2 linked regions of the Lonchura striata genome follow. The protein of the gene in region 2 purifies or fractionates together with the protein of the main gene of each other region. This does not show direct contact. Links are inferred from orthologs where the notes say so. Each region holds a gene or a part of one and is shown on either strand. Other genes may lie near its edges.

Region 1 (3,911 bases), on a different chromosome or scaffold from region 2:
TACAAAACAGCTGACAAATTTACATATTAATTTACATACTTACAAAATATCTGACAAGAGGATGGAAAATGAAAATAACCCAATGATATTGAGCTATTCAGGATGAGGACTATGAGGATTCCAGAAAGATCTTAAGAAAATGAGTGACTAGGTAATAAAAAAGTGAAATACAGTCAACACAACTTCACATAAAGCCAGAAGAAAAGGAAAAGCAATCTTAATTTCAGATCTAAAATGGCAGGCTTTAGTTGACCATTGGAGCTTAGATACAGTATCTCAGGGTCAAAATAGCCAATTCCATGAAAATGCCAGCACAATGACCAGCAGCGGTGTATAAAAACCGAATTAAAAAACCACACAAAAGTAGATTAACTGACAAAAACAGTTAGAAAGGAATAAAGGACACAGAAAACATAATTGTGACACGTGGTAAATCTATGGTTCTCTTATATCTTGAACAGCACTTCACAAACATACAGTACAGTGGGAAGATTTTAGAAGACCAAAGATATAATTTACATATGCAGAACAACTGAGTAGGGCAGGATTTTTGAGCCTTGAACAAAGAATATGAGATGGGGAGGGATGCCTGACAGAGGTCTACAAAAGCATAAATGGCATGAAAAGGAGGGACAACTACCAATGTCTCTTTGTATACAGATGGGAACATTACACTAAGTCAAACTAGTAAGAGACATATTCAAAACAAGACACTTTTCTTAAGAGATAAACACACACCTGTCAAGGAAATGTCAGAAGACAGCCGGGGATATTGATAAAAACAGATCTCTGGCTTGAGCTAGTATAGGCTCTTTTCTGTCTTTGATAATTACAGACAATAGTTACTGTAGGTGCACACAATAAAAAACATACCTGAATCCACTCCTGCTGTTTAGCATCTCCTTTGTTCGTTTTGGCTTCAAAGCCTTTCCCACCATATTTCTGGTCTTCACTTACACACTTCACGTGTTCTTTATAGTCATCACCCCTGAATATAAGAGATTTTTAACCACAGGTCATTGAAATGCTTCACTCTTCAAACTATGCAACACTTAGCCAACCAACAAGATTAAGTAATAGATAATTTAAATTAACAGATCATTTAAACCCTATTACTGTCAACTCTTAAATTATAAAAATGTGATGTGCTTAAAGTAAATGCTTGTAAGACCACAGGCATTTCTGTCATGCTTACAGCTTTCAGTGAAAGTTTCTGACTTGCATCAATTATATTTGTGACAAGAGTGAGGAAGTAAGTCTGTAGAGTGAGCAAAGCTATTTCCCATTCTTTACATACCAGAAATCCTTGCCACAATCCATGCAAGACAGGCACTGACACTTTCTGCAGATGTTCACATGCTTTTCAACCTGTGCTTTCTTCACAGCTTCTCCACACGCATTGCATGTGAAAACTACCATGTTGGCAAGTGGTCAGGAGCCTCTTCCTTCCCACAAAAACGCAACTCTAGGAATACAAGAAGAAGATCTTAATTTATAGCTTGAAAGAAACACTTGGAGGGCCGAAGCGAAACACAGCCGTGCACCCACTGACAGACAGGGTGCGCAGCCCGCTGCTGCACGTGTCAGAGCTCGTTCCACCCGAGTCCCTCCCTGAGCGCAGGGGAGATCAGCACCCCGGGAACCACAATCCCTGCACCCGCCACCCCAACAGGGAACCAGCGACCCCGAACCCATCACCCGAACCAGGAACGGGTAACCCCCGAACCCATCACCCGAGCCAGGAACGGGTAACCCCCGAACCCATCACCCGAGCCAGGAACGGGTAACCCCCGAACCCATCACCCGAGCCAGGAACGGGTAACCCCCGAACCCATCACCCGAACACCTGTAACCCCTGCACCCGCCACCCCAACGGCGGAACCGGTGTCGCCTGTACGGCCCCAGCGCGGATACGTCGCGCAGGGCCGTTCCCGGTCCCCTCCCCTCCCGTGCGGGACCCCGCCGCTCCATCCCGCTCCCCGCAGCTGCAGACCCCTCTCGGCCGTGCCCCGCCGCGCGGCAGCGCTGAGAGGTGGCCGGGCCGCACGGCGTGGGAAGCCCGGCGTGGCCGCCACCCGCGCTCCTGTGCGGCAGCCGGCTGCTGCCGTGCCGAGCCGAGCCGAGCCGAGCCGAGCCGAGCCGAGCCGAGCCGAGCCGAGCCGCCCCCGCTCTCGCTCCCCCGCACCTCAGCGGCCGCCGCCCGCGCGGCACGCGCCGCACCGCCCGCTCCGGCCCCCGCCGCCCGCGCCTGCGCTGCCCCCGCTGCCCCCGCCCCGCGCACCGGAACGGGAACGGGAACGGGAACGGGAACGGGAACGGGAAGGGGAAGGGGAAGGGGAGGGCGCGGCGGCGGAAGCGGCCGCTGGCGGGGATGGAGCTGGGAGGAGGCCGGAGCCGGTAAGCGCAGGGCCGGGCCGGTTGCTGCCCTGGGGCCGCGGCGCGTTTCCCGCTGCCCGGGGCTGCGTCCCCCAGCCCGCACCGGCCGCTCGCCGCGCTGTCCCCGGGCAGAGCGGCCCGCGGCGACCAGACCCTCCCCTGTCCTCTCCCCCGTGCCGCTCCTCCAGCCTGGCCGAGGCGAGCTTAGCTCCGAACAGCGGCTGTGCCGGAGCGGCTGCCGCGGTGCCCGGCCCCTGGATGAGAGACACTTCACTGGCAAAGTGATTGCAGGATGCCGCGGTGGGAAATGTTCACAGGAAAAGCCTGTTAACGTGGTTCCTTTATTTTAAATCCTGGTCAAAGTATGATAAGCATTAATAGAGAAAAAGCACAATGTAGTAACCCCTACCACCCCCCCCTCCCAGTGTAATACAGCCAGAGACAGGGCACATCAGGATAAATTAATGTGGAACCCTTATTGTTCATGAGATTTGAGAATGGGGCAGTCACTATCTGGTCATGCTTAAAAGGTGGTTTTCCTGCTTCATTCCTTAGAATAGGAAGGTTTTTCTCCTAGTTAGAAGACTAGAAATTCAGATTGTCCTAATAGTTGGAACTGTCATGTTTACAAGCGCACAGGGGAAGTGTTGCATCGTTGTTGGAGGGGGTGGGGAAAAGGAAGTATAGAATTCAATGTAAATGTGTTGTGTTGGAATGTGACTTGTCTATTCAACCTCTAAAGAGGGGACTTTTTCATTTAGATTTTACATTGTATTAAGAACAATACCATGTTAATGTGTCTAATTAATCAGATACATTGTAGAAATGTATGTAGCTAGAACAGCAACAAATGCCTGAAATAATACTAGTTTTCCCTTTTGAGTTTAAAGGATGAAGAAACTGAGGCTTTCCTCTACAAATGCTACTGATTTTGTACATGCAATGTGTTTTTGCATTAGACTCTTAATTATTGTGGAAGTTGTCTAAATTGAGGTGCATTTTTTTGTGGTTATGGAGTTCAGTTTATTGGCAGCACCATTAGATTTTTGCAGATGCTCTGTTATAAACAAATCTCTCTTAAAAATCACTGTTTCATATGTGTATTGCTGTGTATCTGTTGGTGAACAATATTGTGACTCATCTTTAACCAGAAAAATGTTATTAGCGATCAAATTGGAGGTGTAAACTGAAGTCTGCTTCCTTTGAAAGCTAAAGCAAATTGTAAAAATGTTCTTAATGTTTTAAATTAATTTTGCAATTTAATATTCACCTTAGCATTTTATCTCATTATAGGTAATTTAATGATTTTCTAGCATGGACACTGTTGCTAGCCACAGCTGTCATCTTCTGCAGCAGCTACATGAACAGCGCATTCAGGGGCTTCTCTGTGACTGCATGCTGGTGGTGAAGGGTGTCTGCTTCAAAGCACACAAAAATGTGTTAGCTGCTTTCAGTCAATATTTCAGGTATGTGAAAGAAAATTCTTCTCTTTAAAAAGTTAACTAAATGCTGTTGGCTGAGGTTTCTCTGAGAAG
Region 2 (3,911 bases):
AGGTGCCCAGGCTATACAGCAGCACCTGGCACTGCACTGATTTCAACCGCAGCCAAATCAAAGAACCATCACCACCATCTTTTATGTTGTATTTTCAAATGCTACCCTCTAAAGCTCCTTGTGCCAAAGGAGGACAAAAATATTGCCAGAGTAGAACAAAAATACTCTGTATTCAGAGTATTTTTGTCTTCAGAAGTATTTTTGTCTTCAGAAGAAAGCACAACCACTGGAAAAGTTGTTTTCAGGCAAAACTCAAAGCAATTGTTTTATGGCTTGATTTCCCTCTCCAACAGCTGATAAACATTCACTGATAAGTAAACACCAAAGAACCCCAAAGAGAAAGGAGAGGTTTCCCTCAAGACATGCAGCAGCTTCTGGGAATAAATGAAGAAAATTTTAATTAATAAAGTTAATTAATTAATTGATAAAATATAACGAACAAAAGAAGATGGCAGGGATAAGTGTGTAAAACATCCATGTATTGTGATGTAAAATGGATGATGATGTTCAGGTGGTCAGGTGCTGGAATAGGCACCGTCCCTGGAGGTGTTTAAGAGATGTCTGGACCTGGCGCTGAGTGATGTGGTTTAGCATCATGGAATTGTCAAGGCGGGAAGAGACCGTCAAGACCATCAAATCCAGCCACCCACTCAGGGCACCGCAACCCCAAAACCACTAAACCACATCACCCAGCATTGCCACTGCCAGCCCGGAACCAAAGGTGCGTTTGAGAGGCGCCTAGATGTGGCGCTAAGCGATGCGGCTTAGGGGTTGTGGGGGCAGCGGTGGATGGACGGCTGGACTTGATGATCGCGAAGATCTTCCAACCCCGATCATTGCGTTGCGTTCCGTTCGGTTCCGCCCAGGGCGCCGTGAGGGCGGTCGGGGTTGGGGGGGCCGGAGGGGGCACCGTGAGGGAGCGCGCGCGCCGCCGCTCCCCCCTCCCCACGGGGCGCGCGCGCCGTGCCGCAGCGCCGCCCGCCCTTCGCCGCCCGCTCTGCGCACGCGCGCGGCACTGCGGCTGCGCGGCCGCAGCAGCGCGACTCCCGCGTACCCCCCCCCCAACAAACAACGGCTGCGGGTGAGAGCAGCGCATGCGCACCGCTCCCTCTGTGCCCGCGCCGCCCGCCAGCCGCGCTCGCTCGCGCCGGGACCTCGCGGGGAAGCGGCGGCGGCGGCTGCGCATGCGCAGAGTCGCTGTTCCTCACACACCCCCATCTTCCGTTTCCCGGCCTCGCGGAGAAGCTCCGCGGGGGCAGCGGGAACCGGGAGCGGGAAAGGCGTGCGCGCTACCGCGCGTGCGCAACGGAGGCCGCGAGCACACCTCCCTAACCCCCGGTCTCCCGCCAATCGGACACCGCCCCGCAGCGCCGCCGCGGCCCAGGCGCGCCGTGCGTGCGTCCGATCGTGCGTGCGTGCGTGCGTGCGTCTGCTCGTGCGTGCGTGCGTGCGTGCGTGCGCTCGGCGGCGGCGGCGGCGGCGCGTCCCGAGCCCCGAATGAACGCGCCGGTCCCGGCGGGCGAGCGGCCCTGAGCGACCCGCGAGCGGGGACGGGCCGTGCCGAGCGGCTCCTCCGCCCGCGCCCCGCCCGCCGCACGGGTGAGTGACCGACGACCGACCCGCCGAGCGCCCGCTGCCCGCCCCGCCGCCGCTGCGCCGCGCTCCAGCGGCAGGCGCGGCGCCCCCGGCCCGCCCGCAGCCCCCGGCCCGGGGCCCGCCCGCCCGCAGCCGCCGCCGGTCCCGGGGCTTCCGCCGGCCCCTGCCAGCCCCGCGAGGGTCGCGGCACCCCGCAGTATTCCCTCAGGGTGCCCCGGGTGCCGGTGCCGCCCCCCTGCCCCCTCCCCGGGCCGGCGGTGCCGCTCGCTCCGCCCGCCCCGGCCCGCGCCCTCCTTGCAGGGAGGATCCGCCCCCCCCACCTCGTCTCCCGGTCCCGTTTCCCCCAAAATTTCATGGAATCGGGTGGGGGTCGCCCTGCCCGCGTCCCCCCGCGCTGCCCCCGGTACCCCTCGGCTGGGGCGGGCCGGGCCCCGGCGGTGCCGGCCGGGCCCCGCGGGGCGGTCGGGCGGGTCCTGCCCGGGATTTGCCGTCCTGCCCCGTCGGATCCCCGGGGAGGCGGCGGCAGAGGTGCCGCTATCGGCCCATCTCCCGCTCCCCGTGGGAGGATGTAAACTTTCCTGGAGATCCCTCAGCGCCGTCTGCCAGATCTCCCTGGCCGCGGGCTCTCTGTCATTCGTAGTCACCTGCTCTGCTCTCATTGTTTAGGCGTTCGAGGGTTTGTCCTTCTCCCCTCGTGTCTGCCCCTTTTTCGGGGTTTTTTTGGGTTTTTTTAAAGGAAGTTGTATGGATAAATTCCCATCCTACTTTATATAGTGACTGTAGGATGCTGTGTGAATGTAACTCTTGGATAAAAATTTCTGTGAGACTTGTGATTTGGGTTCTCAGCCACAGAACCCTACAGGGTACTTCCTGTCTCCTTTTCTTCACTCCCCCCTTCTCCAAAATAAACCTCCAACAACGAGTGTCCCACCCGGGAAACTGCGAAGCACTTGTAAGCTTGTGACTCTGGTATCTCCAGCGAGCATCCGGGAAAAATCAGCACAGATATTCTCTGTAGCTTTTCCTGAGAGACCAAACCACTTCAGCATCTGCAGTGGCATTTTCTGAAGCTTGTTTACTTCTCACAAGTTTTCCCTAGGTGTCTGAAATTTTCTTCACAAATAAAAATTCTAATCTTTTGACATATAGTTTGGGAATCATACAGGTCACACAGCAAAACAAACTTTACAAGTGCAGCGTGTAGAGATCACTATTTTTTGTAGGAAATACAGGTGAGGTTTTAACTATAATTAGGCTCCTGAAACATGTTTGGGAAATAAACAGAAATTAGAGTCCATGTTACTTTCCATTCTTTGGTGCTGAACAATGTCTCATGCACTGAGAGCATCCCGTGCCTGAGAGTTACTGAACTTGCACTTTTATTTTAGGAAATCTGTTGTCTAAAGCTCAGTAGAGCAGCACAGAAGCTACAAGAGGGTGTAAAACCTGGTGCTTTAAAGATAAAATAAAGATGCTGTGAGGGAAAGCAGCACATTTAATTCTTCAGTATTAACATAAGAAATGTGAATGCAAATGAACCCAAACTTTTCGATGAAGAATGGTTGAGTGAAATTCTGCTTGTGTGATTCTAGGGTACATGTAACTTCTCATTTCTTAAATCAAGCCCATGGAAAATTGATCTGTATGGAATAATCTTTGTGTCTGTAGTATGTGTGTTCCATTTTGGTGGAGACAGTGAACATCTCCCAGCCAGTGATTCCACAGTACATCACTCCTTGTGATCCAGTCTGTGAGACTTGGACAAAGCTGACAAGCAAGATTCTATCAACAGGAGATATAATTACTTTTTTTGTAATTCTTAATCATTTGTTAGCCTGTTAAACGTGGAAAACCAAAATATTGAGCTGTTTTTAAGTTGCATTTTTTCTCATTCCAATGAAATGTAGTTTGGTACTTGGTAAACTAGATTAGTTGCTCTGGGTGATTTAACTTGAGACATGAAAACAGAATTTTGAGTACTTGGATTCAGAATTGTGGGGCTGTAGCTGCATTACTTGGTTCATCTTTCTCAGAAAATCATGTTTTGTTTCTTTTTTTTATGAACAGGATAAGTGCATTTTGACACAAAGAAAAGTGGTCTGAGAGTAGTGTCTTCTCACATTTATGAGAAAGCAGATACAATTTATGGAGAGGTGTATAGATGTTTCTCATGCTAAGGTTTTTTTCAGCACTCTTTAAAAATGTATGAATAGTGTAAATGCCCAGTGAAACAAACAAAAAAAAAGCCACAAGAAATGTGGGATTGGAAAGAAAACTTTTAGATACTCTTGTAAAATGCTTTCAGTGTAATTTAA

The links.
Region 1: the proteins of PHF6 (region 2) and LYAR purify together in Homo sapiens (affinity purification with mass spectrometry; 3 studies listed by BioGRID and IntAct, with this or other methods). This does not show direct contact. The link is inferred for Lonchura striata from reciprocal best matches to the Homo sapiens genes PHF6 and LYAR.

What each region holds. Positions count from the first base shown.
Region 1 is NC_134606.1:13,230,827-13,234,737, reverse strand, and holds the start of LYAR (cell growth-regulating nucleolar protein), read right to left. Parts: upstream 2,255-3,911; 5' UTR 2,186-2,254; intron 1,466-2,185; 5' UTR 1,420-1,465; coding exon 1,298-1,419; intron 989-1,297; coding exon 874-988; intron 1-873. Other genes in the region: ZBTB49 (zinc finger and BTB domain-containing protein 49), read left to right, coding at 3,691-3,842. UniProt on the Homo sapiens protein: Plays a role in the maintenance of the appropriate processing of 47S/45S pre-rRNA to 32S/30S pre-rRNAs and their subsequent processing to produce 18S and 28S rRNAs. Also acts at the level of transcription regulation.
Region 2 is NC_134616.1:6,951,964-6,955,874, reverse strand, and holds the start of PHF6 (PHD finger protein 6), read left to right. Parts: upstream 1-1,475; 5' UTR 1,476-1,599; intron 1,600-3,911.